2 linked regions of the Elephas maximus indicus genome follow. The protein of the gene in region 2 interacts with the protein of the main gene of each other region in a pairwise test. Links are inferred from orthologs where the notes say so. Each region holds a gene or a part of one and is shown on either strand. Other genes may lie near its edges.

Region 1 (15,011 bases), on a different chromosome or scaffold from region 2:
TTAAGGACCTCATATTTACCTGAACTCCATGGTAGACTTTCTTCCCTTTCCCCTGAGTCTTATCCCTCTCCCTCCACTATGCTATTGATGCTGAGTTCATTTCTTCTCCATAAAACCAATGCTGCTGCTGTTCCCAAAGGCCCAAATTTGCCATCTTTTTTTGCCATGGCATCCAACCCTTTATCACGGCAACCATTTGGAGAAGCTTTGGGGTCTGGCTCCTGAGCTTGCCTCCAGGCATAGGAACTGGTATTCTCCTCATCCAGTAGGGAGCAACTGAGGCATCCATAAAGGCAGCCACCTAAAATGATATATATAGTGTTCCAGGTATGTAGGGTGTCAGGACTAAGAGACCACATCATCTCCAGCAACTACCCAGGAGGTAAAAGAGACTGATCCATGGTGTTCCTGAGGTGTCGCTCTCCAGCAGGTGATTTCTGACTTTGGGAAGGGTTCAGAAGGCTGGGCACTCACAGTTTTCTTCTGGTCCCCACAGAACATGTTTGGGATGTGGAAGCCTGTGGTGTTCTTGGCTATTGCAGCCATGGCTCTGTATTTGTTACCCAACATGCGACCGCAGGAGACAGAGTTCAGCCTCATGGAGTGATGGCAGATCTGGGCCAGCCAAGGGGGCAGATCCTACGTGGCCACCACCCTCAGCTTCATGCAGGACGTTGTGCCAGAGCCCCACCCCACCCATATGTCCTACACATTCCCATTTCCTTAGCCTCGGTCACCCAGGCCGGAAAGGCTTGTGGAGAGCTGCTGGCTCCCATCTCCTGCCTTGTATAAGAACCTGGGTTCCTTGTAATTAAATATCAACCTAATTACATGAGACTTTGTGGCTTTTTATTTGCTCAGTGCCTTATAGCGCAACAAAAATAGAGTGATTCCCCTTAACCAAGTACCTCACATAAGAATCTGGTTTCCTACATAGGATTTCTCACTACAAATGACCTCAGAAACGAGTCTGGCTGCCAGCTGAATTGGAGATAGATTGGTCCGTATTGACCCTATCTCAAGGAACATATCTGAGCATGAAGAAATGGAATGAACTGGGTACTTTGTGTGAGGGGGCCAAATGACCTCCCCTAGGGGTGCCCACATCTATGGCTGCTGTGAGAAAGATGTCCTAAGAAGATCTGTTTGGGAGCCTTTGTGGCTTAGTCCTTGGGACTTTTTTCAAGAGTTGCACTCAGAGATGAATCAGTTGTTCAGGGTCCTGACAGTAAACAGGTGACACAAACGGTTTCACTGAAGAGCGTTTAATGAAGGGACAATGTACAGAGAGCAGGGTTAAGAGAACCAACAGGGAATAGTGAAGTGCCCAGGCACCGGCAACAGTGGGGTGGTGTTACCAACACAGGCCTAAAGGGAACCAGAAGCTACAGCCCTGAAAAGGGGCCCCAGACAGGAATGGTGGCCATAGAGGAATGCAGCCTCTGCCAGAGCCCTCATGAGTAGGGAGTTATTTATTCCCCATCCTCCCTCTCCACCTGCCAGTTTCCTACGGGTGCCACCCACTGACTGAGCCCAGCTGGGAGCCAGAGAGCAAAGGTGTCCAGGTTATGAAATCTCTGGAGGTCAGCCTCCTGGAGCTCAGAGCCAGCAGAGGATTGAATGGATCTAAGTGGAGACAAACAGAATAATTTATGAGTGCCCTTGTTTACCTTTATCCCTGTGGGCCCCTTTTGTGGTTTCATGAATGTTTCCATATGAAAGACCTCAAGTGTATCTGTAAGCCTCAGTGGACACAGTGGCCCCCATGACTACTCATTTCCTTGGGAGCCCTCTCTCTGTCTCCTTTACGCCTAATGCCAAAGGAATTTGCTTCATTCAACCAGATAACTGAAGCAGCATGTGCTTCCAGAGTGTGTACTGTAGTGGGCACTGCCAAGGACTGCATGAATTCATTACTTCTCCAGCCCTTTCCAGGGGGGCGTAGCAAGGACATTTAGAATTAGGAGATTTTAAAATTGTGTGCTGCTTGGAGGAGTGATAGGCTGAATTGGAGTCCATCCTGGAAGGCCTGGGGCCAGCGCTGAAATTGTAACCAGCTCCAGAGTCCTCACCCTATAAACATGGCTGCAATAGGAAAACTGAGGGCAGGGCTACCTGTCCCTTCTGCTCCCCCTCAAAATGACTGCTCTTTAAAGACCCTATTTAGGGTGGTCTGGCACTGGGTTTTAGTCCCTGGCTACTCAAAGTGTGGTCCATGGACCAGCAGCCTCAGCATCACCTGAGAGCTTGTTAGAAAGGCAGAATCTCAGACCCTACTCAGACCTACTGAAACAGAATCTGCATTTTGGCAAGGTCCCCAGGTGATTAGCATACACAATAAAGTTTGAGAAGCATTGTTTGAGTCAATGACATTAGATTCTGTGTTCTCAGTGGTAAACTAATTAAAGAACTTCCTTCACAACCCACCTGGTACCCGTGGCCACGTGTTGAGTGTAGTAAGATGCTACCGTTTACCCATTTTAGCCGCCAGTTGGCTGGAAAACACACCCAGTGAAAAGGACTGGATGATCATCTGTAGCTGAGAATCAGATTTAAACTTGGAATTAGAAGCCAAGATGGAGGTCAGGATCTGGTAGGCAGATGGCCCCTTCCCAGGACCAAACCTAGAGGCTGAGTTTCTTAGTTATCTAGTGTTGCTGTAACAGAAATACCACAAGTGAGTGGTTTTAAAGAAATTTATTTTCTCATGGTTTAGGAGGCTAGAAGCCCAAATTCAGGACACTGGCTCTAGGGGCTCTCTTTCTTCGCTCTGAGGGAAAACCCCTGTTTCAGCTTCTCCAGCCCCAGAGTTCTTCAGTTCCTTGGCAATCTCTATGTGACATCTATTCCTACACTGATATGGCCTCATTAATATAACCAAGAAAACCCTATTCCCAAATGGGGTTACATCCACAGGTATATGGGTTAGGATTTACAACACATCTTGGGGTCACACAATTCAATCCGTAACATTCCACTCTTTGGCCCCCCAAAATTCATGCCTTTCCCACATGCAAAACTCATTCACTACAAGATCATCACAAAAGTCTTATTCCATTCTAGCACAACTCTAAGTCCCAAATCTTACCTCGTAAATCATCTAAATCTAAATCAAGTACGTATAGGTGAGACTCTGGGCCTGTTCCATCCTTGGGCAAAATTCCTTTCCATCAGTGGGCCTCGAATACAAGTTATCTGCTCCCAAAGTACAATGGCGGAATTAGGTACAAGGTAGACATTTCCAACCCAAATGGGAGAAATTGGAGGGAAGGAAGTGTCAAAGAACCAAACAAGTCCAAAACCTGGCAGAGCAAATTTCATTAGCTTTCAAGGCTTGAAAATAATCCTCTGTTCTCCAGGACCATCTGGGGAACAGCCCCACCCTCAGACTCTGGATGTTGGCCTCCCTCTCTGGATTCTGGGTGGAGGCCCCTTGGCCCTAGGCTTCAGTCTCTCCTTCCAGGCCCACTGGGATGGCAACCCAGCTCCCTCGACTTTGGGTAACCTCATTTTCCTGATCCACCTGCGTGGTGACCCCAACCCCTTGGCCCTGGGTGGCTCTGTTCTCCTGGCCCTTGGACATTGCAGCCCCTCACCCTCAACTCTGGGCAAAGGCCCCATCCTCTTGGTCCACCTGAATGGCAGCACCACGCTCCAGAATCGAGATGGTGGAGATCTAACTCTTTGAAACCTAAACCAAACCCATTGCCAACGAGTTGATCCCGACTCATGGCGATCCTGGTGGCGTAGTGGTTAAGTGCTATGGCTGCTAACCAAGAGGTCAGCAGTTCCACCTCTTGATTCCAGGCACTCCTTGGAAACTCTATGAGGCAGTTCTACTCTGTCCTATAGGGTCACTATGAGCCTATGAGACTTTGAAACCTAGGAGGCGGTTTTTCCACCCTTTGAAACAGAGGCAGCCCTGCCCGCCATAGTTCCTCAACAGTCCTGCTGATCTCTGAATTGTTCCTAGGATGATGCCTTCCTTTTCTTGGAGGACAACAGATGTTCGCAGCCAAGCGGCTTCACTGGCCCATTTTCTGCCTGTAGGATTCCAGGATTGCAGCTTTCCTTCACGTTGTACTATCTGTCCCTTCTAGTCTAATCGGACAAGATTTCTGCTGCGGTGGTTTATTAGACCCATCAGCTGCAGGCTTAATCTCTTTAACAAAAGACTGTTTAGCCAGACCCTTGATGAAAGTTCCAGGACACGTGTCCTTAGTCTGTACAACAGAATTTTCCAGAACTTTATTTTTTTAAGTTCTGGTTTCATTTTGTACAGTTCATTTTTAAGTTCATCTCTTTCCTCCCACATTTTACTTTAAGCGGCAAAGAGAAACCAGGCTGCCCCTTTAAGATCTTGCTTAGAAATCTCCTCAGCCAAATATCCAAGTTCATTACTTACAAGTTCTACCTTCCACTGAACATAATTCAGTCAAGTTCCTTGCCACCTTATAAAAGCATCACCCTAAAAAAAGAAAAGCACCATCCTTCCTCCATTGTCCAATAACCTGTTCATCATTTCCTTTTAAGGTTTCACCAGAAGTACATTTAACATCCACATTTCTAGCAACATTTTGTTCATAGTGATTGAAGCTTTCTCTAGAGGATTCCTCATTTCTTCTGAGCCCTCATCAGAATTACCCGTAGTGTCCATAATTCTACCAACAGTCTCGTCAAGGCAGTCTAGGCTCTTCCTATGAGGCTCCGAATTTCTCCAGATTCTGTCCATTACCCAATTGCAAAACCATTTCCACATTTTAGGTATTTGTTGAAGCAGTACTCCCACTTACCAATACCAAATTCTGTTTTAGTTGTCCAGTGCTGCTGTAACAGAAATACCACAAGTGGGTGGTTTAAAAGGACAAAAATTTATTTCCTCATGGGTTAGGAAGCTACAAGTCCAAAATCAGGGCACCAGCTCTAGGGTAAGGGCCTCTCTCTGTCCACTTTGGAGGAAAATCCTTGTCTCAGCTTCTCTAGCCCCAGTGCTCTTTGGTTCCTTGGCCATCTCCAGGTGGCATCTATCTTTCCCCTGTTTGTGCTAGCTTCTCTCTGTGTCTAATCTGCTCTTTTTATATCTCAAAAGTCATTAGGTTTAAGACACATTCTACTCTGATATGGCCTCATTAACATAACAAAGAAAACCCTATTCCCAAAAGGAATTGTATCCATAGGTATCTGAGTTAAGATTCCAAAACATAGTTTAGGGGGACACAATCCAATCCATAACACAGAGTGTCGGCAGGAATGTGGCCCTGCCTTTCCCTACATATTTTTCCTTAGAATAGACCTCTTCTTTTTGGAACACTTGCCTTTATGTGAGCATAAGCCCCTCTCTGCTCATGTTAGAACCTCATACTCTTCACTTGGCTTGAACTTCATGCCTTCTGGTCTTGTTGATACACATTGTGTTGAATGTGGAACATTCCCTTGAGCCGGTTTAAGAAAAAAGGGGCGGGATTGATTTTAAGTCGACAGGGGTGCCTCTTAGAAGCCACAGGCAGGCATGTAGCCAGGCCTACAGGTACAGTTGGAACCAAGGACTCCAGACCCCTTCAGGAGCCCCAGTTTCTCACCTCTGCTGTCCCTGCATAATGCTTCCTTTCTTCTCTCTCCCTCAAGACCAGCCCCCTCTGTTTCCCTGGCTCCCCTCCCCCCTTCAATTGCACATGGAAGAGCACCCTGCCTGCCACTCCTGCCAAGGACCAGCTGTTCCTGAGGCCAGTGCACGGTTCTAGAGATCAGTTGTGCTGCTGGCTCTGACTCTGGCAGGTGGAGGGTTAGTACACAGATTCACTAGGGAAGGGAAGAGGTGAGCAGTGTGGGGATTCCGACAGTGGTCTCTACAGGGGCTGTAGAGACAGAGCTGTAAGGGAAGAATTCACCAGGACCCACTTGGTCCCCAAGATACCAGCAGGGGAAGCAAATGACTGTTTTGGAGCACTTACTATATGCCAGGCACTGTGCTAATCATTTTACATGGTATCTCCTTTTATCTTCACACATTAAAAAAAAAAAAGAAATCCCTATAAGAACATTATTAACTCCATTTTATAGATGAGAAAACTGAGTCCCAGACACATTACACTACCTGCCCCAGGCTACAGAGCCAGAAGTGGAGAGGCTGGAATTCAGCCTGTGGATCCTTCTACTCTGCCACACTGTCCCTGGTACCAGGCCCAGGGCCACAGTCAGTGTCATTGATTGGTCAAAGTGCTGGCTGTGAGCTTGGACAGCCCCTGGTTCCAAAAAAGCAGAATTTTCCAACATGGCACATTGGAGCCGCTTACTCAGATTCTACTCAGCCCAAGTTAAATATGGCCAATGTTGTGGCTGACGAGCAATGCCCCTTGATAGGAGAGGCAGGACAGGTGAAAAGCCTGGGCAACCTGGTCTCCTGAGGCAGGTCAGCAGGTAGTGAGTCAGGGTGTTATAAAAGGACTGTGGCAGCCAGCGCAGCCCCAAATTCTTAGCTGACGAAACCCCCTGTAAGTCCCTCTGAGTGCCCCTGCTGGCTGGGGGAGGAACAACACCGTTGGTCCTCCTCAGGGAGGTGGCCTCACTTGGCAGGCCCCAGAACTAGCATTGTGCACTGTCTGTTCAGGCCCACATGGCTGGGCCTGGGGCCTGGGCTCACGGGCTATATTGAGGTCTGAGTCACCAGCCTGTGCCTGGGTCAGGCTGACTGTGACTGGCTGGCTAAGGACTGAGTCAGGCCCCGATTTATCCTGGAGAGCAATGAGGCTCAGGTTTCGGGGGAGTGGAGTGAGAGTGGGTGACAGGAACAATCCCTTGGCACTCTGTATCCTCCTCTGCCACCATCCACTCAGTCCCCTGGGAAGGCACACTGGTCTCTCCTGGAGTAAGATAATGAGTCAGAGCGGGGAGAGTAATGGGAGATTATATGTGGGAATTCTCTCTCTACTCACTTGCTTCTCTCTGAACTTTCCTCATCTCCACGGAGGCCCCCAGTTGACAGGGGACCTCAGGGAATATTCAAACAACAGGAATATGAGCCCTTAGGGCTTGAAAAGGAGCTGTCAGCTTCAGGCAGCCCCTTCTTACCCCTTTCTTCCTCCCCAACAGCTCAGAGAGAGGAATCTAGCCTTTCTCAGATCTGTACCTCAGTTTCTCCATGAGGCCTTCAGAGCTCCTGGCTCCTCAGGTTTGGATGTCAGAAGTCCCCCCTTTTACACATGCACACAGTTCTCTGGAGAAACCCAGCTCTGCCCCCTGAGGAGCTGGGCATCTCTCCACAGGAGAGCTTAGCTTGTCAAGTAGATGTGGAACACCGGTGCCTGATGGGTGGTTTTGGCCATGGGACGAAGGTGGCTTGGGGGAAATGAGAGTTCTGGAGACGCGGAGAGGGTTAGCCAGCAGGAGAGTGGAATTCCTGAGTACCTCGTCACAGGCAGCCGACAGAACATGAGCCACAAGGCCCAAGCTATTTATACCTCTCCTGTCACTATCAGGGCCCCCAGAGCTCCCCACCCCCCAGCCATGTACAGCAGGGCCCTTTTCTGTTTCTGGTCCCTTCTCTACTTCTCCCTTTCATTAAATGAGGAGGCAATCTCATTAAATGAGGAGGACAAGAAATCACTCACGGACACTTTCAATCATACATACTGTCCCCCGTAAAGCCCTTGAACTTCTTTCTCAGCTCCATAAGCCGGACTGACCTCATTCTGCCCTTGGGGATAGAGACCCCAAAGATGCCCACAGTCCCCTTCCTTTTTGCTAGGCCTGGGGGAGGAGAGGAAAAGGGTAGAAAGATTCACCTATGAGGTCCCAGAACCTTCCAAAATCCTCTCCATTGTCATCACATGCCTTGAATTGGGAGCTACCTGGCTTGAAGAAACTGCTCCAGCTCAGACATGGCCTACTACCCAGCTCAGCTTGCTATTGGCGATGTGAGAGTTTGCCTACTTCTTGCACATCCTCTCATTGATACGCCACTCAAAACTTACTGGGTCTGGAAGGATAGGAAAGATGACCTAAAAGGGAGGCCAGGAGACACGGAATACATGTATGCTACAGAATTGCAGGATATAACTTTTCTTCATGTAAATATGTTCTATAGCTCTTTCTTCTCATTCCAGGCCAGCTCGTCTGTTCATGTGCCTCAGTTTCCCTGCCATCGCCACTCCCCAGGCCTCTATCTGCCCTTGGCTCACCCTGGTTGGCTCCCTGGGGTTCTCTGGGCCGACCAGCCCTAGTCACTGTTCCCTCTAGGCTGCTCTGGGCAGGGCTCTCCTTGTTTGTGTCTGGCTAACCCACCCCCTCTCTGGGAGGATCTGCCCAGTGGCCAAAGTGGGCACATTGCCCAGGGGGCTCCCTGGCACTAAGGGGGCACAGTCTGTCCCTCCCCTCTCCTCACACTGGTTGAGTCAGATGGGGGGGGCACATTGTGACTCACTTGGTACCTTTTTCCTGAGCTCAGCTTCATTCTGAGAGGATGAGGCTAAATGGGCTGGTGACAGGCTCACTGAGTCAGGGGCAGCAGCCTCAGTCTTCCCCTGAGACCCTGGGTTTGGGCCCCAAATGAGGCCTTTCCACCTGTAAAGTGGAGCAGTGAGGTCAGGTACCCGGCCCCCCAAGTCTTCTAATTGGCCTGTCCCAGCTTCCTCTCAGTCCATCTCCACACAAGCACACACACTTCCCTTCTCAGCCCACAGGTGGACAATACCCTGGGCTAGGAGCCAGGCCTCCCAGCGCCTGTCAACGGCCCTGCCTCCAACCCGTCCAGAAAACTGTCAAAATTCTCTACGTGTGTCACCTTAACCACTGGCCTCAGTTTCCCCATTTCTCTCTTTAGCCCTGGCGGGGTGTGACGGGAGCATAGTTCATTTCGGACGGTGCTTAGTTTGGGGTGTCGGGGTGCAGCCTTGCCGGCGCTCTCGGCCCCTGGCCCGCAGCCCCGGGCGGGGAGGGGACGGGGAGACGCCGTGGGGGAGGGGAGGAGGCGGGGCCGCCCCCCGCGGCCGGGCGGCATTCCTGGGAGGCCGGCGCTCTGACGTGGCTCGGGGGCCGCGGGCTTCTTAAACCCCCGGGCCCGGCCCGCCGCACTTCCCGAGCACCGCTCCGCCCTCGGAGGGAGAGAGAGACCCGAGCGAGGAGGCCCGCGAGCCGCCCGCCCAGAGAAGTTGCAGAGCGCGCAGCCCAGCCCGCGGTCGCGCCCCCAGCCCGCCGGCCCACCCGAACCCGGCCCGACCCACCCGAACCGGCCGCAGCCCCTGCCCGCCCGGCCGCCAGCATGATGAACAACAGCGGCTACTCGGAGCCCGCGGGCCTCGGCCTGGCCGACGAGGCGGACGAGATGCCGTCCACCGAGAAGGACCTGGCGGAGGACGCGCCGTGGAAGAAGATCCAGCAGAACACGTTCACGCGCTGGTGCAACGAGCATCTCAAGTGCGTGGGCAAGCGCCTCACCGACCTGCAGCGCGACCTCAGCGACGGGCTGCGGCTCATCGCGCTGCTCGAGGTGCTCAGCCAGAAGCGCATGTACCGCAAGTTCCACCCGCGCCCCAACTTCCGCCAGATGAAGCTGGAGAACGTGTCCGTGGCCCTCGAGTTCCTGGAGCGCGAGCACATCAAGCTCGTGTCCATCGGTCAGTGCGGGCGGCGAGGGCACGGCGGGGGGACACGGCGGGGAGGTGTGTGTGTGGCGCGGAGCTGTCCCCCGGGCAGGGGGCACAGGAGCTGGTGGGCGCGGGGAGCAGAGACCTGGGGCAGGGCGGCTGGCAGGGAAATGCCTCTGCCCCGTCTCCCTCACCCTCCCGCTCAGGCCGCTGCGTTCAGGACTCTCAGGACCCTGGGCACCCGCGGCGTTCCCAGCCCTCCAGCACCATACACTCCCACCGACCTGCCTCTATTCATTATCCCTTTCCTTCCTTTGGGCGACTGGGACCCCCCCCCCTTCCCCGGCAAACAAAGCAGGTGGCCTCCCAGCACCTCCACGGGAAGGCGGGGACTGCAGACGGGTCCCCATCAGTGCCCAGATCCACGGGCTCTGAGGCGAGGGGGAGCTGGTGGGCGGCAGGATGTCGTCCAGGCCCACTTCGGGCTTGTGCTCAGCTCAGGTCTCAGGCCCGGGGCCAGGGCAGGCAGGGCCCTGCCTCAAACACCTAAAAAGGCACTGAGCACTGAACAGCGCCGGGAGCTTTAACCCCTGCCTGGCCTCCTCCTGCCCTGGCCCAGGGAGCCGGCTCCAGCCTTGGCCGGCCCCAGCCCATCCCGAAGCTGGGGATTGGCTGCAGCTAACGGTCTGGCCCGGGGAGGGAGGGGAGGCCTGTAAAAGGAGGGAGTCCTTGAGTGTAACCAGATTTGGAAGGTGTGTTGGGACGGGATGGGGGTGGGGAGGTACTCTAAGCTTGGCAGCAGAGAAGTCTAGGGTGGGTTTTGAGTGGCAAGTAGCGCCCCCTGTCCTCCCAGCCCTACAGTCATTTGAGTAGGCCAGGGTCCCGGGAAAGACCCTCACTCCCGGGGTAAACTCTTAAGAGTTCTGCTGTGAATTACATGAAGGGGCCCCATATGGGGCTCCATGTGGGCTTCCCAATGGGCCGGCCAGGTAGCCTAGAACCCCCCACGACTGCCTCAGAGACACCCCCAGATAATGGACTGTCTGTCCACCCCCACTGTCCCTCAGGGCCATCTCTGGTCCTCCTGAATTAGCAGCTGAGGTCAGTTTGGGGCCCTTTGCCCTGTCCAGTCCCCTCCCTTGGCCTTACCCCTCCTGCCCAAATACTGGCCCCCCCCCCCCAGCCCTCACCCCACCGCCTGCTCCAGCCTGGAAATAGCCCTGCCTCCGTGACACAGCAGATGTCTCTGAGCTTTCCAGAAGGACAAGCCTGAGGGCAGGCATGGGGGAGGGGGCTCTGGTGTGTAGTGAGGGGGTGTGGGGGGCTGCAGACTACATGACCGAGTGTGGAGGGAGAGTCAGAGCCTGGCCAGCCCCTGTCACCCCTGCATGCTGAAATTTGAGAGGCAGGACTGACTATCCCAGGTGGGGTCTCCCGGGACAGACAGGCTAGGAAGCCTCTCCACCTCCCTCCCCACTGGTCCCTCTCCAGGCCTCATCCTTCCGGACTGCACCTCTCCCTCCCCCAGAGCGGTGCCTGGCCCCTGGCCCCTTGGCTCTGAGCTGAAGGGGGAGAAGTGAAGGCTGGTCTAGGGGCAGGAGGGAAGCTCCTCCGTCCAGTTGAGAGGAAGGGGAGCTGGTCCCCATTTAGTAGGCCAAGTGGCTCCCTCGAGCTGATGAGATAAGCTGTCAGCAATTCAGCTGCTGGGGCTAAGGCTGGCAGGGAGGGGCCTGCTACAGGGGTGGTAGCCCGAGGTGTGAGGGAACAACCCATGGGAAGTCTGCTTCCCCTGGTTCCCCTCTTCTCATGTTTGGGGGGAAGGGGCTGTTCTGGGGGCCTCTGCCCCAGGCATGGTCTCAGACTGAAGGTGAGCATCTGGGCACCTGAGTGGGGGGCCCTTCTTGGAGAAGAGAAGCTGGGGCCAAGGGGGAGCTGGGAGTGGAGACAGCTACCCGAGGAGAGGTGCTTAGCCTGAGTTGGGGGAGCTCTGGCCCTTTGTGCCCCCTTACCCCGCCCAGGTCCCCTACTGCCCCCTCAGCCCCTCGGAACAAAGAGGCCTATGAGGCAACTCTGTCCCGCAGCTGTTCCCCAGTTGCTATTCCTTCTCCTTGAGCCAACAGCCGAAGGAGGGGCTGGAGGGGGCAGCAGCTGTCCCAGCACCTCCCTCGGCCCAGCCCTCTCTCCTCCTCCCCCTCCACTTGAGGCCTGGGGGCAGGGGCGGCTCAGGGACTGGCTTCTGGCTCCTCCCGCTCCTTTGGGGGTATCCCTAGGCAGGCGAGAAGAGGGCTTGGGGGAGTTATGAGGGAGGAAGCCTGGCTAGAGCTGAGCTCCCCTCCCCAGGCCTCCAAGGGGAAGGAGGGAGAGGAAGGTCACAGCTTCCAGAGTGGGACTCGGCCCCGGCCGCAGTCCCTCCCCCGCCCCAAGCCATGGACCACTTGCTGTCTGGCCCTGGGCCAGTTGCTGGGGAGAAACCTCGCTCTCCAGCAAGTATGAATGATCACCCCACACATCCCCTCCCAGCCCCCAGCAGTCTCAAGGTCTCCCTCCCTCCCTTTAGGGGGTCTGGCCCCAGCCCGCTGCAGGAAGCCCTGCTGGGTGGTGAGTGCTGGCTTTGGAGACTGTCAGGGCTGCAAGAGGTCGAGGGGCACTGGGGTGTCAAGACTGTGTGAATGCACTGTGGGTGTGTTTGTGCCATCGAGAGAGCAGAGCTTTGGGAGGCCGGGAGCGAGTATGTCATGGAATGTGAAAGCTGCCAAACCATTGTGCTGCAGTGGAGCCAGGGGAAAGGGGGTGGGCTGGGGAGCTGCTGGGGAAGGAAGGATGAATCAGTGAGAGGGTGGGGAACCTAGGGGCCAGCCTGCCGCCGGAGGGACTGGAAGACCAAGGTTCCCTCCTGGGGCAAGTGGGGTGGGGTGGGGTAGGGGATGCTGGAGTTCCCTGGCCCTGGGTCTTCTTCCACCCTTCCCCAGATCTAGGAATGGGGGGCAGGAAAAGATGTATAACAGGGAGCCTTCAGCCCCACACTCTCCCATCTCTCGGCAACGCCAGTAAACAAGGCTGAGTTTTCCGCCCCCTTTGAACCTCTTAATAGCAGCTCAGCTTGGAGCTGATGGCTTTCAGGTCTGCATTGTCCTTTACAGATGAGGATTCCAAAGATCTATACTCTAGGCCACCTAGGCCACTGCCTCCTGGATGTTTCGCTTTGGCTGTTGAAGGGGAGCTAGGCCTGAACAATCTGGGGGAGTCAGGTCTGATCCATAGTATTCCTCAAAGGAGTTGATAGTGGAGCGTGTCTCAGCTTCTGAGACTCCAGTCTACATCGGTGACAAGTCCCAGGCTCTTGTGAAATCCCATTTCCCCCCAGCATTTGCAAACTGAGCTTGCCAGCTGGACACCCTCTCTCCTCCCAGGACCCCATTGTTCCAAAAGCCTTTTATGGCAATCAAGGTGGAAACCAGGTTGGTCTTGTTCCTCTGCAACTTCATGTTTTAAAATATTCATTCATTCAATCAAAATTTATTGAGGCCCCATCAAGTCCTAGACCCTGAGTATAGAAAGATAAAACCCAGGGTCTGGAGTGAAAGAGGACACACAAAAAGCAGTGATACCACTTCTGTAAAAGACCAAGCCAGTTGCCCTCAAGTTAACTGAACTCCTGTATCTGGGTAGAACTGTGCTTCATGGGGTTTTCAATGGCTGATTTTTCGGAAGCAGATCGCCAGGCCTTTCTTCCAAGGAATCTCTGGGTAGACTCAAAGCACCAACCTTTTGGCTTGCAGCGAGCACATTAACCATTCGCACCACCCATTTGTATAAAACTCTAGGAATTTCGAGCTAATCTATAGTGACAAAGCAGATCAGTGATTACCCAGGAAGGGAAAGGCAAGGAGGGGCAGGAGGGAGGGATTACCAAGGGGTCCACACAAGAAAACTTTTGGAAGTGACGGATATGTTTGTTATCTTGATGTGGGTGATGGCTTTCTGGCTTCATGTCAGAGCTTATCAAATTATACTCTTTAACATGTGCAGTTTATAATATGTCAAGTATACCTTGATAAAACCATTAAACAAAAAAACTAGTGTCTGCCCCCAGAAGGCTTATAAACCAGTAGGGCCAGACAGATCCTGGATAATTGTAGGGATGGCTATAGCCGATAGGAGGCAGACTGGAGTGCTCTAACAGGCAAGAGTATCTGTGCAGGAGTACACAGGGCAGCAGCCTCATTCTGAAGGGAGGAGGCCCCTGAAGGACTTGGCATCTCCACTTTGCACCTAGTAGGCTGAGAGGGAGGCGGTAGGTTCCAGAAATAGGAGGCCTGAGCCCAGCGCTGTAGCAGCTGCCTTGGGAGCACCCTCCCCATAGCTGGGCAGGTGCAGAAGGTACCCTGGGTCGGAGGGTGGGCTTCCTGAGCCCAGCTGGTTCTCTGTGCTCTGCAGACAGCAAGGCCATCGTGGATGGGAACTTGAAGCTGATCTTGGGCCTGATCTGGACCCTAATCCTGCACTACTCCATCTCCATGCCCATGTGGGAGGATGAGGACGACGAGGACGCCCGCAAGCAGACGCCCAAGCAGCGCCTGCTCGGCTGGATCCAGAACAAGGTGCCCCAGCTGCCCATCACCAACTTCAACCGAGACTGGCAGGATGGCAAAGCTCTCGGCGCCCTGGTGGACAACTGTGCCCCTGGTGAGTGGGCCAGCGGGTATCTTGAGGAGCCCTCAGCTGGAAGGAGAGCTAGGATGAGCCAATCCTACCAAGGCTCACAGTTGTCAGAATGCACCCCTGTGGGGCTCCCTCTCCTCCAGCTGAGATTCATGCTGGAGTCAGGCCTCCACTGCTGGGTGTGCCAGATTCTACAGGGGTAGGAAGGGCTTAGAGCCCCTCATTTTACAGACAAGGATGTTGAGGGCCAGAGAGAGCCAGTGACTTGTCCAGGGTCTCTTGGCTTGTCTGGCAGAACTGAACCTCGATCCCCCGGCCAGGACACCCTGCTCCACGTGCTCTCTACTTTGACACCTGGGCACTGCCGAGTGCTCCTTTGTGAGACCCTGGGACAGCTTTGAGAAGAGGCTGAGGCCCGGGATGATGTGGACTGAGGCTGGCATGGCGCTGCCAAGTGGCAGGTGACCCAGCCCTGCCCCCTCAATGTAGGTCCTGGCCTGGTCGGGTGGGGGCTGATCAGGGCCACAAGGAAACTGAGGCAGCACAGGCTAGAGCCCCACCCCGTGCACCATTTCCTTTCTGACCCTCGTCTCGTGAGAAGATGGGGCTTTTTCCACTCTGGGTTGGTTAGCCCTGAACCTGGGGAGCCATGGCCCCTTGGGAGAATCCTTCCCCGCCCTGGGGTCAGCCGGGGAGCAGGGGGTGGGAGGCAGGGGCACCAGCCGCCTGGGAAGCATTCCCAACTGCTGAGCCATTGCCCATAGCTGG
Region 2 (15,074 bases):
AGCATTCACTCTCCAAAGTAGAACCAGAGAGGGGAAACTTGATGTAAAGTAGAGGGGGAAACACCTCACAGCTCCTCTGTTTCTCCATCCAAGGGGATGCTGATATCCACGTTGTAGTCTACAGGCTCCCCAGAGCTCAGCCAGGGAATAGGGGTTCGATTGAAAGAAGGCCTGTTGGAGAGGTTCTGGTTGTAGAGGACCAAGGGTTCACTTAGCAGGGGCCCCAGCTCAATTTTGGGCATCTGGAAGGTCATGCGTTTGGAAGCCTTCTCATATCCACCGTAGGGCATTGCCGTCCTGAGATGGGGGACACATTATTTAATTAAAAACCAGAATAAAAAGAACAGAGCCTTATCAGTGAGATGTTAGCCCATTTTGAAGATGAGGTCGTCAGGTTTGCTTGTTTCCTCAAAGCTAATAATAAAAGAAGGAGGCTAGTGGGTCCTAAATTCCCAGTTGTCGTCAAGTCGATTCTGACTCATAGAAAACCTATGGGATGCCTCCATCGGGTTTCCAAGGCTGTAGTCTTTATGGAAGCAGATTGCCACATCTTTTCTCCCATGGAGCAGCTGGTTGGTTAGCAGCCACGAGGGCTCTGTGGGTCCTAGATAGTTTTATAAATAGTTGTGACCCAGAGCAGCATGCATTTCAGAGAAAGTAACCCCATATACTATAGACCTAATGGTTTGAGGCCACCTTAAATTTTAATGTAGAGACTTTACCAACTCTCCATGCTACCCCCAGGGGATAGTGGATGGCCTGGGTGAGAGGACCCAGTGCAAAAGCACTTCTCTAATACTTCAGTATCCTGCTTTCATACAGATCTCCATGATCTATGGAGATAGAGAACAGGTACTTAGAGCCTTACTAAAGTAGGGTATAAGGAAACAGAATCATATCACAGGACAGTTATGGAATCCTAGACCTTGAATGGAAGGGATCCTCAAAGGAGGCTTTCAAACAGGTAATACATTATTCCCATTTTATGGTTGAGGCAACCAAGGGTCAGAAGGAGAGTGACTTTCCCATGTCCACATAGCTAATAAGTAGCTTATGAACTAGAATTCAGATCCTTCCTCTCAGTACTGTTTTCCTTCTGCATACTGATCTGTTTCTCTGAGCTAGAGTGAGAGCAAAGGCCTTCATTTAGGGCCCCCATATTCCTTTCATCCCTCTTCATCCTCCTGAAACATTTGAACCAAAGTCTCCATCCCACACACTAGAATGCATCTGCTTCCTTCCCCACCACTCCTACCTGTTGAAGGACTTATATTTGGGGAGTTCAGCTTTGGCCCCATAGGCCAGCAGGTCAATACCAAGTTCTACTTTCTGCTGGGCGTCAACCCCCATGGCTCGCTCCCATGGAGAAATATAGGTCTTGAACACAGTAATATGTTTTCCTTCTCCACCTGCCTGGTCTCCTGGAAGCCATGGGAGAGAAAGGTAGGTCAAATAATAGCAGTTAGTAGCCAATGAAAGTTAATCCTATACCGCTTCACTAGGGGTTGGGACAAGGGACCAAAGGTACAATATTCTGGTAATTGTTTAAGGTTTGTAGCATAATGATAGCTTGGGGTCAAATATGTGACTGGATCTGAAAAACCGAAAAAGTGACTGAAAGACAAGGCTTCTGGGTGGAATAGACACAACTCTGTGTATTTCCAAACCCAGAGAATCTACCCAGATATCTCAGTTGGCCTCCCCTGCTCCCCACACCCAGTCTAGGCCTCATATCCCTGCTTTGGGGCCCAGAAACATTACTCTTGGGTGAGGGTACTTACCTGTTCCCGACTCGCCAACTCCCACTGAGCCACCTCCTGCTGAGCTACCTCCTCCTCTGCTGGCCTGGCCCCCAGGGCCACCTGTGCCCCCAGGGCCACCTGTGCCCCCAGTTCCAGACCCAGATGCAGACCCAGGGCCTCGATGGTGCTGCTGGTCAGAGCCATACTGTCTGGCAGAGCTGCTGCCCCCTGCCTGGCCTCCACCACTGCCCTTGCCGTAGGAGAATTCCTGACCAGCTGTGCCCAGCTGACCCCCCACTGTAGGAAGGAACTTCTGAAAGTGATCCTGAAAAGAGAGAACAAAGTTAGGAGACAGACAGTGATGAACACGGGGAATCTACAGAGAGAGAGATGTGAACAGACAGGGAGGAAGTGATGAGACAATGGCCAACTGGAAGACACTGAACCCTCTAGATTCCCCCTTCCTACGAATGGAAGGTGAATAGCCTGGCTGAGAGCATCTAAACTCTCCTTGAAAGGTGGGACCCCCTTGGCTTAATTCCTCCAGTTACTCATTAGGATGGAAGCAACTCATTCTCCACACTCCCCTTTCCCATCTTTACCAAGGTAAAGAGGACCAAGACTTCTGCCTGCTCAGGTAAATTTGAGAGGATGGGGCTGGCAATGGAGAACCTACCCTTAATTTGAAGAACTATAGAGAGCTCTGCCCCTCCCCTTCTCAGCTTGTCCAAAACACAGAACTTTCTTCTCCCTCTCTCTCTCTTCCTCTTGATACCTGTTGAACCAGGACTGACTTCCTGACAATGAAATTGTAGCTGGGATGGGGGGAAGGGCGCCCAAAAGGGCAACACTGGATTCTGCCATGAAGCCTAAAAATAACCCAGCCAGCTCCTTCAGGAGGCTCTCCTGGGCACCCCACCAGGCACACCCCCATGCTCCACCCCGTGTAACCAGACCCAGAGAGGGAAGAAGGCTTTTGGCCTCCTAAAGTTAGATGTGACTGGCTCAGCATTTTTATACTGTTCCTACGTAAATAAGAGTCAATGACGAACATTCTTGCCCCTGGTCCCATGTAGGCATCTATATCCACTCTCCCTCCTACCCCCCAAGGAAGGTGGAGGAGGAGGAAAGGAAATAGAGAGGATTCCTTCCTTCTCTCAGTTTTAACATCCTGTGCCTGGTCATTCTCCAACTCCTACTTTTCCCTTGGAGAAGAAGCCTGAGTAGGGGATGTAGAATCTGGAAGAAGGACAGTTTCAGTCCCCACATCTGGGGTCCTGAGGAAAGAGGGACACATAATGGGTCACATTAAAAGGCTGACCCTTTAAACAAAAGAATGGCTCAAGAAGGAGATGGCCATGAAAACTAAACTCTAGAGTTACCAGATTTGGCAAATAAAACTACAGGATACCCAGCTAAATTTTAATTTCAGATATGCAATGAATATTTTTTTAGTATAAATATGTCCCAAATATTGCATGGGACATACTTAAACTAGGAGTCCCTGGGCAGTGCAAATGGTTAAACACTCAACTACTAGCCAAAAGGTTGGCAGTTCAAACCCACCCAGAGGTGCCAGAAGACAGGCCTGGCGATCTGTCTCTGAAAGGTCACAGCCTTGAAAACCCTGTGGAGCAGTTCTACTCTGTACCCATGGGATTGCCATGAGTTGGAACCCGATAACAACAACATATTTATCCTAAAAATTATTTGCATGCATATGAAACTCAAGTTTAACTGGGCTTACATTTTTATTTTATTTTTATGTCCCAAATATTGCATGGAACATACATTAAAAAAGTTACCTGTTATGTATCTGAAATATAAAATTAAGCATTCTATATTTTATGGGTAACCCTATCTTTACCACTAACCTAAACTGGGAAGGAATTTTCTCCCTGAGGGTATGGTACCTCTCTCCCACCTCCAACCCACTTCCACCAGCTCTAAGATAGAGACTTTTGAGTTTCAGTGATGAGCTGTAACTCACTGGAGCTGTTGGGGATTCAGTATATCTGGGGGTTTAATGAGTTTATGAATTTTCAGAGGGGTGAGTTTGGTGGTATTTTGGAGATTCAGGCCCTACCCCAGGCTGTGAGACAGCAGTAAGGTTCAGAACTCACAATCGAGCTGTCAGAGAAGACATCAGGGTGATTCTCATAGATAAATTTCTCCACTCGCATCTGCCGCAGTTTGAACATCTTGGAGCCCCGGTTAGTGAGCAGTGACAGCTCCTCCAACATCACATCCCTGGGGACACTGATCTTCTTGCCCAGGTTCAGGCCTGAGCTTTCCTGCCCACCTTTCAGGGAGGTAAGGAGGAAGAGGCAAGGGAAGAGGGAAGTAGAGTTTTCTGGGCTCAGGTCGTAGGCCCTGTCCACAACTAAGTTTGTGTGTCCTGGCAGAGATCACTTAGGGGACAGGTGCTGTCTGTGATGTCTGATCAAACTCTGTCTAGATTGTCTGACTTCTGATTTCCTGGATTTGGAGTTGGAGTGAAAGCATGGGACCTGGGATGCAGAATGGAGGTAGTAAGGATTCTTGAGTAAAGAGGTAGATGGAGTAAGAGGGGCATGGGGTACAGGGCAGAAGGAGTAAAGGAACATTATAGGTGGAAGCACTGAGGCAACCATGGCATGGGAGAAAGCCCAAAGGTCAATCCCATGTGGAGGTGGCCACCTCTAAGTACAGACTCCTATCTTAACTCCTTTCCCTGTCCTTCCCCTCAGTGAACTCTGGCTCCCAACAGCCTCTGGGTATTGGGAGAGTGCTTTACACCATGCACACCTGCCTAACCCTAAGAGAAATACCCATGTGGTTTCCCCACAGCCCTACTTCTGGGGAAAGAAGTAAGGAAATTAATTAATTTTTCTGGGAGAAATCACCCATTTATTGAGCTCTTTCTTTGTGTCAGTCTCTGTCATATGTGTTTTCACCTTCAGACATACACCCCACTGACCTGTCGCCCAGTGGTCCTGGACCTGTGCTAGGTAATATGGCAGAGCATTGTCTCAGGTTACAAGGTGAAAAGGGTGGAAGGATAAGTAGTCAGTGTCCAGCCTTTTTTCCCTCTTCCTTTCTTCCCCCTGTCCCGGACTGGAATTTCTTTTATCCCTTCAGGCTAAGACATATATAAAATTATGATATTTCTGGGACTCTTGGTTCAGGGATGCTCTTAATAAGAAGTCCCCACGCTAGGTAGATGCATCCTTGCCCTACCTCCAGAGAGTTCCATTATCAGCTTGCTGGATTTCCTCTTCTTGTTGGGGGCCGGGGTTCCTGACAGTGGCATTGTGGAGGGAGGTTCAGCCTGAATAGGGCAGGAAGGGGAAGTTGGAAGGATGACAGAGACAGGGAAGGGTGAGTGTTTACAAAAGAGCCCTTCTTCCACTCCAGGGCAGTACTTCTTAACCTGTGGTTAATAGCTTCAGCGGGCAAAATTTCATCAGATTCTCGAAGAAATATGGATTCCCCCAAAAGGTTAAAACCCACTGCTTTAGAGCTTCTGCCTTCTTGGGAGGCAGGGCAGGAGATATAGATGTACCCCCTGCCTACCTCCCACCAACTTCTGTTGAGCTATTTTTTATAGGGCTGGTGCAGGGATTAGGGACACAGCACAGGGGGTGGGGGTGGGAATAAAAAAAAAAGGCAACCCAGGCAAGACAACGCACCCAGGTCTCATTGGATTGGCATGATTTGAAATGTTTATTTGTGTTGGGATCTCAAATTGGGGCTGTGATTCCAGGCTCTGGCCTCTTCTCAATCTTCCCCAAGCCCCAGGGGGGCAGAGAAGTGTTCTGCCAGGGTTACGGGGATTCAGCCAAAAACATTCTCCATAGGAAGGAGAGATTGTTGGTCCACCACTGGGCCAGCTGGAACAGGGCCTGGAAGGTCACGGCTGTGCTCCCCTTCAGCCACCCCCACCCCAGATCCCAGAACTGGAGTTGTGGGGAGACAGGGAACATTTGCACCCTGAGCCTGTCAATTCAGCAATATCATTGCAGAGGACAGGAACATAGTAACAGGATCTAGCAGTGGAGGGGAACAAACTGGGAATAGATACAGACTCCAGCTTCTCCTTAACAGAAGCCGGCCCTTAGCAAAATCCCCTCTTCTGCTGAGTCCTGCCTCACAAATACGTCTGCAACTCTACCAGCTTGGTGGGGTCTACTGAGGCCAGAGTCCAGGAAACACTAAATGGACTCTCCCTGCACCTCTCTCAGCCCCTCCCAGATTCTTTTTTCCATCAGCCTCTTGGACCCCCTATTCCTCCAGTGCCTCTCCCAATATTTCTGTTCCCTCCAACCTCCTGGATCTATCTCTTTTCAACTCTCTGTGGCACCCCTGAATTGGACAGCTGAGAGCTGAGCATAGATGGGGGGCACTCACGTAGGATGAAAACTAACAACTGCAGACACACACAGAAGTAAGCAGAGTGGACTCCAGCCCCTCTGGCCATAGAGGTGGACTTACCAGTTGCTCAGGCAGTGGTCAGCTCTCCCTGGGGTCCAGCAGCTTTGGAGGACTGAGCTGCTATGACCGAGAACCCGAGATGGACAGGCGTGGGGGCAGCACTGACAGTGGGGGAGGGAGGGTGGTTATTAATAGAGACGATGAGTGTAAGCAGCTCAAATGGCACCGGGGGTACTGAGACCCTGGAACCAAGATCCCGCCCTCCTTGCCCAGAGGCTCCTGAAGGGGAGAAAAGGCCTTTGGGATTCTCCCAGTGAGCTGTCTGAGCCAGGGATCAGCCTGCCTAGGGGGAGCTCCCCTTCCCTTGGCATTTGGAGACAGATCTAGGAAAGCATTCAGGGAGAAACTGAAGACGGAAGGAGAGGAAGGAGGCAGCAAGTAGTGGATAGGAATTCAGAGAGGGAGAGAGAGATCCTGGAGAACGTGTCCTGAGGGCCACCCAGAGCCAATTTAGGCAGGAGCTGGAGGGACCTGTGGGTGTATTTGGGGGTAGGAGGGCTTAAGGTGCTATGTTTGGGAAGGGGACGAACATCTGTTCGCAATAGAATCCGCTCTTTTAAAGTTCCTGGAGGGGTTGGTCTTTCTCTGCTGAGGGCCAGATCTTGGCAGGATAAGGGATCAATTTAACCAAACCCAATGCTTGTAGGCAGTCAGGGATGATGTGGGGAAGGCTTGGCCAATCCTTCCGTCCACATCACTCCATTTTCTTTCCCCTTAAACTCTGGCAGTTCTAAGAACAAGTGAACACTTGGATCTGCCCATTTGGGGGAGCTCTGTTCAGCCCACCCTACAGGACAGATGTTGATATACCCCAGAGAAGCACCCAGGGCCTTACCCTCTGGGACTTCCTTCAAAGGGTGCACATAGCCCATAGGCTCCGGGCTGTCCCATTATACTGTTCAAAAGGAGAGTCTGGGCAGGGGCATAAGCTTGAGAGCCCATTTGGGGGAAGGATGACATTTCCCATTCCCTTCCTTAGTAGCTGCGTGAACATCCTGGCTCCTCCTCCACCTTTTGCTCAGGTTCTGGAACCAGCTGCTGCTGTAGCCACCCCACCCTGTTGCAGGTGGCTAAGGAAGTGGCTTTTGAAGTTCCCAGACACCTCCGTCCCTCTATGAGCTCTCCACTCTGTCTGTCCAATCCCTTCTCCCATTCTGTACTCTTCAGGTTCAGGCTAGGGGCTGAGAAGTCCTCCTCCCCTTCTCATTGGTCCTGTCCCAGACCAGTTGTGCCTCCGGATCTTTCGCCTTCTGCCCTCTAGTCCGTCCCAACCCAAGGAAGCAATTAGAAGAAAAAAAAAACATAAATAGCAAAAGGTGATTTCATCATCCTCACCACCCTCCCCTCAAAAAACAAAAACCAAAATTTTGATTGTTTATCTACGCCTGAGTACCTAAAACTACTGAGGTAAGTGAAGACAGAAGATGCAGCCTAATGCTCTCCCTAGACTCTTCCCTTGGAATTCTCAGAGGCTATAAAAAAAAAAAAAAAATTTTTTTTTTTTTTTTTTTTTTTTAATGTGTACTTGAGTACTCTGTCCTGTAGAGTCGCTGTGAGTTGGAATTGACTCCATGGCAATGGGTTTGGTTTTTGGTCTTTATGTACTTGAGAGTATCAGTGTTCTGGGTCTGGTTATAGGCATCAGCATGCCCCCTGCCGGTACAATTGGAACAGTGGCACTTTCCGTCTCAGAAGGCTTTTATTGCAGCCTGCCTCTGGCGATTTAACTAGTCTAAATCCACACTGACCCACCTTTCTCTCCTTCTTCCCTCACCCATCCCATTTTCACCCCCAGCCATTTAATTCCCAGAGACTGTTTAGCATGCTTGCTTCCCCTGGGGAGCTAGGAAATGTTAATGGCAAAAGGCTCAGAGGGCCTTTCCAACTTCTCAGTTTTGTACGCGGAGGCCATGCCTGGGAAGTGTGGAGCAGGGACTGGAAATGGGGAGAACCTGGATGGAGAATGTGGGGAGAAGAAACCAAGGGGAGTGGTGGAGGTGGCTAAATGGAAATTGGGGATGAAGGGTGAAAAATGGGATAGCAGGAATGGGAGAGGGAGTGCAGGAATCAGATTAGGGGGATGGGTCAGAGAATATCAAGATCAGGATTTGGGTATAAAAGTAGAAGAGACGACAGCAACAGAAGGTATGGGGCATGAGTTTATTGTGCACAAAACAAAGTACCGTGACTCACACCTAATAAGCAAAGGCAACGATCAATTTCCAGATCAAGCAGCAAACGTGGCTAGTGATGGCCAAGGTGAGAGGGGAGTCCATACCCCTCCAGGATCAGAGACCAGGGCCTGAAGCTGGAAAGGAACAAGAGCTAGGGCTCTGAAGGACAGGCTGGGAATAAAAGGAGGGGTTGACTCTGGGTCTTTCTCTGTCCTTTCCCAGGTCGTCATGACAAGCTGCAGAAGACAGACTAAGGGACAGACTCGAAGGTAGCACAGACTCCAGCTGTTCTTTCAGCACTCTGCACGCAGCCTCACCGCCTCCGACCATCATTCCCCTTCACTATGCTGACAAATACATTCTTCTCCCTCAAGTTTTCCCCAATCCCTTCCCTGCATGCCGTTGGTTTCTTGTTACTCAACTGCATTCTCTGCCCACATGGCGCTCTCCCGTGCTCTGCACCCTGCTCCCGTCTATGGCTCAATCCATTCCACTTGTTTCTGTTCTGCTCCTGGTTTCTGCCTCACTTTCCACACCCTGGCTCCTTTCTCCCTCCTTTCTGTCTTAGGCTCAGAAGCCAAGGATTTGCTCATTCTCAGAGGAAATTTCATGTTTTATCACTTCCTGGATGCTAGGTTTTTCAGCGTGGGCTTCTCAGGTTGCAAATTTTCTGAAATCCTGAGGAATAGAATTCTTAGTCCTATTCTTGGTCTATCTGCTATAACAGCCCATGCAAGGTGTCCCGGCCCTTCAATATCCTCATACCCCATAAGTTTCACTAGATGCTGTACACCTGCTGCAGATGCTGGTCTCTGAGGAGTTATTCTCCAGTGAATCTCTCTCCAGACTGGACATTCCATGTGGGAATAATATCTGACCCTTCGCTCATCAGTGCAAGGGTAAGACCCAGGTGGGACCTTTATTTAGACCTCCCCTCTTACTCTTGCCTTAGAAGAGCTCATCTGTGCACACGCACATTTGCACATACACACACGCACACACACATTCCTAGGTATATGCCAGCCAAGCTTGGGAAAGAAGAGCGAGGAATAGGGAGGGACTGATTGCAAACAGGCATCAGTTCAGTCCCTTTGCTGTCTGTCTGGTGGTGAGCATCTTGCCTGAGGTTCCAGTGGTAACGTCCCTTGTACTTCTCACTGAATGTTAAAACAACCCTATAGGACAGAGTAGAACTGCCCCATAGAGCTTCCAAGGAGCTTCTAGTAGATTCAAACTGCCGACCTTTTGGTTAGCAGCCTTAGCTCTTAACCACTATGCCACCAGTGTTTCCCATTAAAACCAGGCCCACGGAGAAAAGCACAAATGTAGAGAAACATAGATGCAGTGCAAGAGTGTGGGAGGACAGACCTGGAGATAAAGACAGAGAGAGATCCCAGCAAGGAAATACAGAGACAAAGAGAGTGAGCAGGAAGCTGGGGGATGGGACACTAACTCCAAAACTATCTGTGGCAGGAGGGACCCTTAGCCTCCAGACGCCTGAGAGGGGAGGTGTGATGGTACAGGAGTAGCAACTTTAGGAACAGGATGTCCCACCTCTCCTTGGTCCTGGGAGCTGTGCTCTGCTCACTGGTGTCCTGCCCCAGGCCTCCACACCTGAGCCTGCAATCCTGTTCTGGTGGCCGAGAACTTGGGCCTGGCTACCTGGAAGCCACAGGAGCTGGGGGAGGCTCCAAGGCCCCTGGGAGACTCTGGAGTCGGGGTTGGGATAGGGGCAGGGGCTGAGGCCAGCTCTGCCCTCCAGATAGGCTCATCCAGTGTAGTGGCTGCTCGTGGGGCAAGCACTGTGGCGGCCAGGGGCTCTGCAGTGGGCTGGGGCGCCGGAGTGGAAAATCTGCGGATCTCCTGGACTCGGGCAGTTTTAGGGGGCCCTGAAGCGGTGGGGCCTGGAGTCGGGGGAACCTCATCAAAACAGAACATGGAGGTTTTAAGTTGGTAGGGCTGGTGCCTCATGAAATCAATACCTTTGATGCCCTGCTTGGGGGTTGCCCGAGGTCCCTGGGACTGAGCCTTAGTCGGGAGAGTTCGGGCAGCCTGAGGGAAAAAGGGTGAGAGCAGTGGGTTGTAAGCAATAGGAGGTGGAGCACGGATATTGGGGGAATATTTCCAGGATGGGGGCAGTGAAGGAGTAGGAGAAGGGCTTCTGGGCCCTGGGCCAGGGCCAAGGCCAGCACCAGGTGTAGCTTCCACAACATACCTGTCTGCACGGCTCTGCCGCTTGGCAAACAGCTCCCCACCCCTGCCCTGTAGCCTTGGTGGCTCAGGGGTTCCAGACAAAGGGACTCCCCCATTCATCAGCCCATCAAGGAGCCCTCGAGATTGGGGTTTAGGAGCTATCGGGGGTGGAGTCTTAGCAGTCCTAGGGGGTGGAGTCTTGGGAGCCATCGGAGGCGGGGTTTTAGGTGTCGCGGGAGGCGGGGTCTTGTAACTCCTGCCCCCTGGTGGCTGCATGAAGTTGCAGGCTTCAGCCCCGAGGCTCAGAAGGTCCTCCTCGGGACCAGATTCCGCACCCCCGGCCCGGGGTTTTTCATCCAGGTTCTGCACCAGCGACAGTAGCTCGGGGTTGGGCGAGTTCTTCGTCTCCTCCTTTCCCGGTCGGAACATCTGCTTCCGAGTCCCCCGGCGCCGGGCCTCCTGCAGGATGCCGGTGCGGGCGGCTGGCACCGAGATGCGCTGCTCCCGTGCGCTGGGGGCCTCAGGGGCAGCTGGGCCCGGGACTGGCGCCTCTGGGCGTGCAGCTGGCCGCAGAGGTGCCGATAGGAAGATAGAAGCCGTGGAGGTCATGGCGGCTGCACTAGTGGAAGTGGGGGGCTCTGGGGCTCCGCCTGGAGTAACAGGCCGACTGGGAGCTGGGATGTACAGGGAGCTGGTGGCCGTCACGGGGCCCGAGGAGCGCGGAGTGCTGGGAGAACCGGAGGCTGGCACGTAACTGGGAACCCCTGGGGTGAAGCTGGGCAAAGGAGTGGGCCCCGGTGGAGAGGACAGGAAGGGGGGTGGGGCGGGGCTGAGGCCTCCCAGGTTTTCATTCGCCCTCTTGGGGGCTAGGGGCCGGAAAATAACTGAGGTGGTACCTGGCCGCTGCCCTTGTAAACCTGGGGTAAATGGCCTGGCTGACCGGTTAAAGATACCAGGAGATGGGGAAGGGGCTCCACCACCAGGAAGAAAGGGTCTGGGGCTGGCCCCAAGGGCCGGCAAAGGGCTAGGTGGGAGCACAGCCGCCTCCGGGGGCGCACTCTGGGCCCGAGGGGGTGACTGCAGGCCCTTCCCGTTGAGCATGGCTGGTGGGCCATCCTGGGCCAGCTCCTGGGTGATGGAGGCTGCGCGCTGGCGCTGCTGTTCAAAGAGCTGGACCCCTCTCCCGGAGGCCTCAGTCAGCTGCCCTCCAAGCCCGGGGCCCTGGCCCTCTGCTGCACCTGAACCTGGCCTGGCCCGCTCCATGTCCAGATAGGGGCTGTCCCAGTCAGACTGATTGGTGAGGCTGCGGGCGTCGGAGAAGGCCTCTTCGTCCAGCTCAGACTCACTGGTCGGGGGTACACCGTCCTCCTCCCCTTCAGCTCCTGTCCCAGCTGCAGCTCCAAAACTCACTAGCGTATACTTCTTGGCTCTCTGCCGCCGTTTCTTAAACATAAGCACTCCCTTGGAGTGGGGGTTGGGGGCGGCGGTTAGCAGGGATGCAATTGTCCGGCATTTGGTCTTGGCCTCCTTCACGCTCTTCTCCTGGAGGCTCTCTGCACGTTGCAGTTCTGAGGAGGCCAGGAGAGAAAATAGTCAGCGGGCTTCCCCAACCTCTTCTAGTCCTGTTTCCCAGCTCCGTCAGGCTCCCCGTCTTTTCACCGGCCAACCTACAATGTCTCCTGTCTGTGGCAAAGTTCTCTGACTTGGGGGCAGAGTGCAGGGTGAAAGGTGAAATTAAGGACAGCTGAAGAGAAGGCAGAGTCCAGCTGACTGTCCCAACACTGCATTGACCACAGCCCTCCTCCTATCCTCTCTTCCCTCTCCTCCATTCCTGTCTTCTCAGAGATATGCTCTTACCCCGGCCACACACATTCCTCCTCTGCCTCCCTCCATTCCTAGCTGGCAATGGAGGGGAGATGTCACTCCTCATAGTAAGAAGGGAGACAGGACAGGTCAGAGATGAGAAGGGACATGTTTCTCCCACCATAGAGACAGAGGCCATGTTAGGAGACTTCTCACAAAGTTTGAACCCCTTGGAAACAGCCCCTCTTCCCACCCCCTACCCCTAGGATAAGGCCACAAAGGATCCTTAGCAATGAGGATTTTCATTCACGTTGCCACCTCCATCATGCAGCACACATTATATACAAACATTCATAGAAATGACCATCACACATCATTCCAGCAAGAATATTGGCCTAGTGAAAGCCAGGATGGGTACATTTACTCATGTGTACTTCCTGTCATTCACATTTACCCTAGCTCACATGTTCATGTTCACATACCCAAAACCATACAGATATGTAAATTCACACGTGCCCACAAGAACACAGGCTTACTCAAACACTCCAACACAGACACATTCCTGGTGGCCCTTCTTCCCAGAGTTCCCTCTGAAGAGACTGTTCCTAACAGGACAAAACTTCGGAGCTGATTTTCCTTTCCAACCACCAGAACATCTCTCTGTGCCTCACGCCCCTCCTACTCACAGCCAGGGGTAGTCTCAGATCCAAGATGCAGGAAAAGCCAGAGGGTTGCTCTCCAAACTAACCCTCCAAATAATAGGACACCTCAAGGTTGCCAGCTAAATATACTCTCCTTTCTCCCAAGCTGGAGTGGGTGGGTTTCTTTGAAGGTCAGAGCTATCCACTCTTTTTCAACCCCTCTAGGTAGTGAGTGTGGGCAGTGACTCCCAGGCAGGCACGCAGGGAGTGTGTGCTAAAGGGAGCCAGGGCAGGGCTTTCCATACCATGTGGGGCCTTGGAAGGTGGGGCCAGGAAATGGGAGTGGCTGCCCTGCTGCTGGAACCCTGCTTTGGACATCAGTACTCTCTGGTCCATAGTCCTCAGTTCCTGAAAAATTCTTTAAATTCCATCTACTTCCCACTCAAGATACCAACCAAGCTCCTTTCTAATTAGGGCTCTCACGCCTCTTATTGTAACGTTTATAACAGAATAGTGCTGTGAATGGAAATACAGGCTCTGGAATCAGGGTTCAGTTCAAATCCAGGCTCTCCAAGATTTTTGGTTCTGAAATATTGGGGGTGTTATTTCACCTTGGAAACCCTGGTGGTGTAGTGGTTAAGTGCTATGGCTGCTAACCAAAAGGTCAGCAGTTCGAACCTGCCAGGTGCTCCTTGGAAACTCTGTGGGGCAGTTCTACTCTGTCCTATAGGGTCGCTATGAGTCGGAATCGACTCGACGGCAGTGGGGTTTACTTCACCTTGCTGAAGAGCAGTTTCCTCATCTGTAAATGAGGATGATAATGGCTACCTCACAGAGTTGCTATGAGGTGTAAGTGAGATAATGTAGGTAAGTTTAGCACTCAACACGGTGCTAAGGCCTACTATGACCAGCCATTACTATCCTCTTGACACTAGCTACACAAGTTTATGGACACTTTCTTGTTCACACACATCTTCTCTACTCCCACAGACTCGCACACACATGCCTTCATGTACTCATATTGTGCTCACACCTCTCTCTCTCATGTACACACTCTCCCCATGAGTTGTCTATCACCCATGTGATCACAAGTCACTTCAACAAGTGGCCATGCATCAGCCTTTTCTAGAAAGGAGCAGCGAAACTCCTGAAAATAGGAGAAAGAGAAGGCAAAAAGGAGGAGGGTCAAGGGAATAAGACCTTTCCCAAAGACCTCCCTTCCTAAACTGCTGATACATTTCCCCCACTCTGAATCCCAGAACAGCCCTGGCTATGGGAAGGTAGTACCTGCATAGAATGGGTCCTGGAGCTCAGGATCTGGGCCTGGGGCTTTGTCACAGCTGGCTTGGCTGAGAGGCTCTTGGCTGAGGGGCTCAAAGGTCTCCATGCCGGGAAAGGCAGTGTTGGCTGGAGCAGGACCAGCTTGAGGCACCCCCCACGCCTTTTAAAGCCCCTTTGTCTGGTCCCCAGAGCTGGCAGCTGAATGAGCTCACTGTGCTATTTTTGGAGCCTGGCCCCCTCCCTTCTCTCGGCTGCCCCACAAGCCCTGGTGTGATGGACATTGGCACCTGCCTACCCTTCCCCCTACCCCACCCCATTTGACAATGAGGTCTGCTTGGCTAAAAATATTCCTGAGCCACTAACTACACCCTCACCCAGCATGATGGGAAGGGGGGCTGTGCTAAAAGGAGAATTGTGGATAAGCATGGGATCCTGGGCTTACATCTGGAATTTCTTTGTGGAGTCTTGGACATTTTCAGAGATGTCAGACTCTAAACCATGGTGTTGTTAGCCTTTATTCCAGACTTAGAAACACAAAATCCTATGGCTCGGGAATCAGAATGGAGGAGAGGAGGGGAGGGAAGAGAGATAAGAAGTAGAGGGGCAATCCTGAGGTTTCTGAAGTGAGCGAAAAGTCTCTGTGGGAGGGGTATGAGGGGCATGGTGCAGGGAGAAAGTTCACTCTTAGACCTTGTTCTGTAGCTCACATCAAAAATAGCAAAGAGCCTGAGATAAGTGGAACTGGCTTTTTCTGCCCAGGCCTACAT

The links.
Region 1: the proteins of MYOZ1 (region 2) and FLNC interact in a two-hybrid assay, tested with the Homo sapiens proteins (2 studies listed by BioGRID and IntAct). The link is inferred for Elephas maximus indicus from reciprocal best matches to the Homo sapiens genes MYOZ1 and FLNC.

The regions. Positions count from the first base shown.
Region 1 is NC_064826.1:21,235,133-21,250,143, reverse strand, and holds the start of FLNC (filamin-C), read left to right. Parts: upstream 1-9,062; 5' UTR 9,063-9,256; coding exon 9,257-9,611; intron 9,612-14,018; coding exon 14,019-14,267; intron 14,268-15,011. Other genes in the region: CCDC136 (coiled-coil domain-containing protein 136), read left to right, coding at 497-607.
Region 2 is NC_064834.1:13,856,312-13,871,385, reverse strand, and holds the start of MYOZ1 (myozenin-1), read right to left. Parts: upstream 6,304-15,074; 5' UTR 6,216-6,303; intron 5,053-6,215; 5' UTR 5,035-5,052; coding exon 4,962-5,034; intron 4,045-4,961; coding exon 3,866-4,044; intron 2,068-3,865; coding exon 1,782-2,067; intron 1,422-1,781; coding exon 1,256-1,421; intron 298-1,255; coding exon 66-297; 3' UTR 1-65. Other genes in the region: SYNPO2L (synaptopodin 2-like protein), read right to left, coding at 9,974-12,150. UniProt on the Homo sapiens protein: Myozenins may serve as intracellular binding proteins involved in linking Z-disk proteins such as alpha-actinin, gamma-filamin, TCAP/telethonin, LDB3/ZASP and localizing calcineurin signaling to the sarcomere.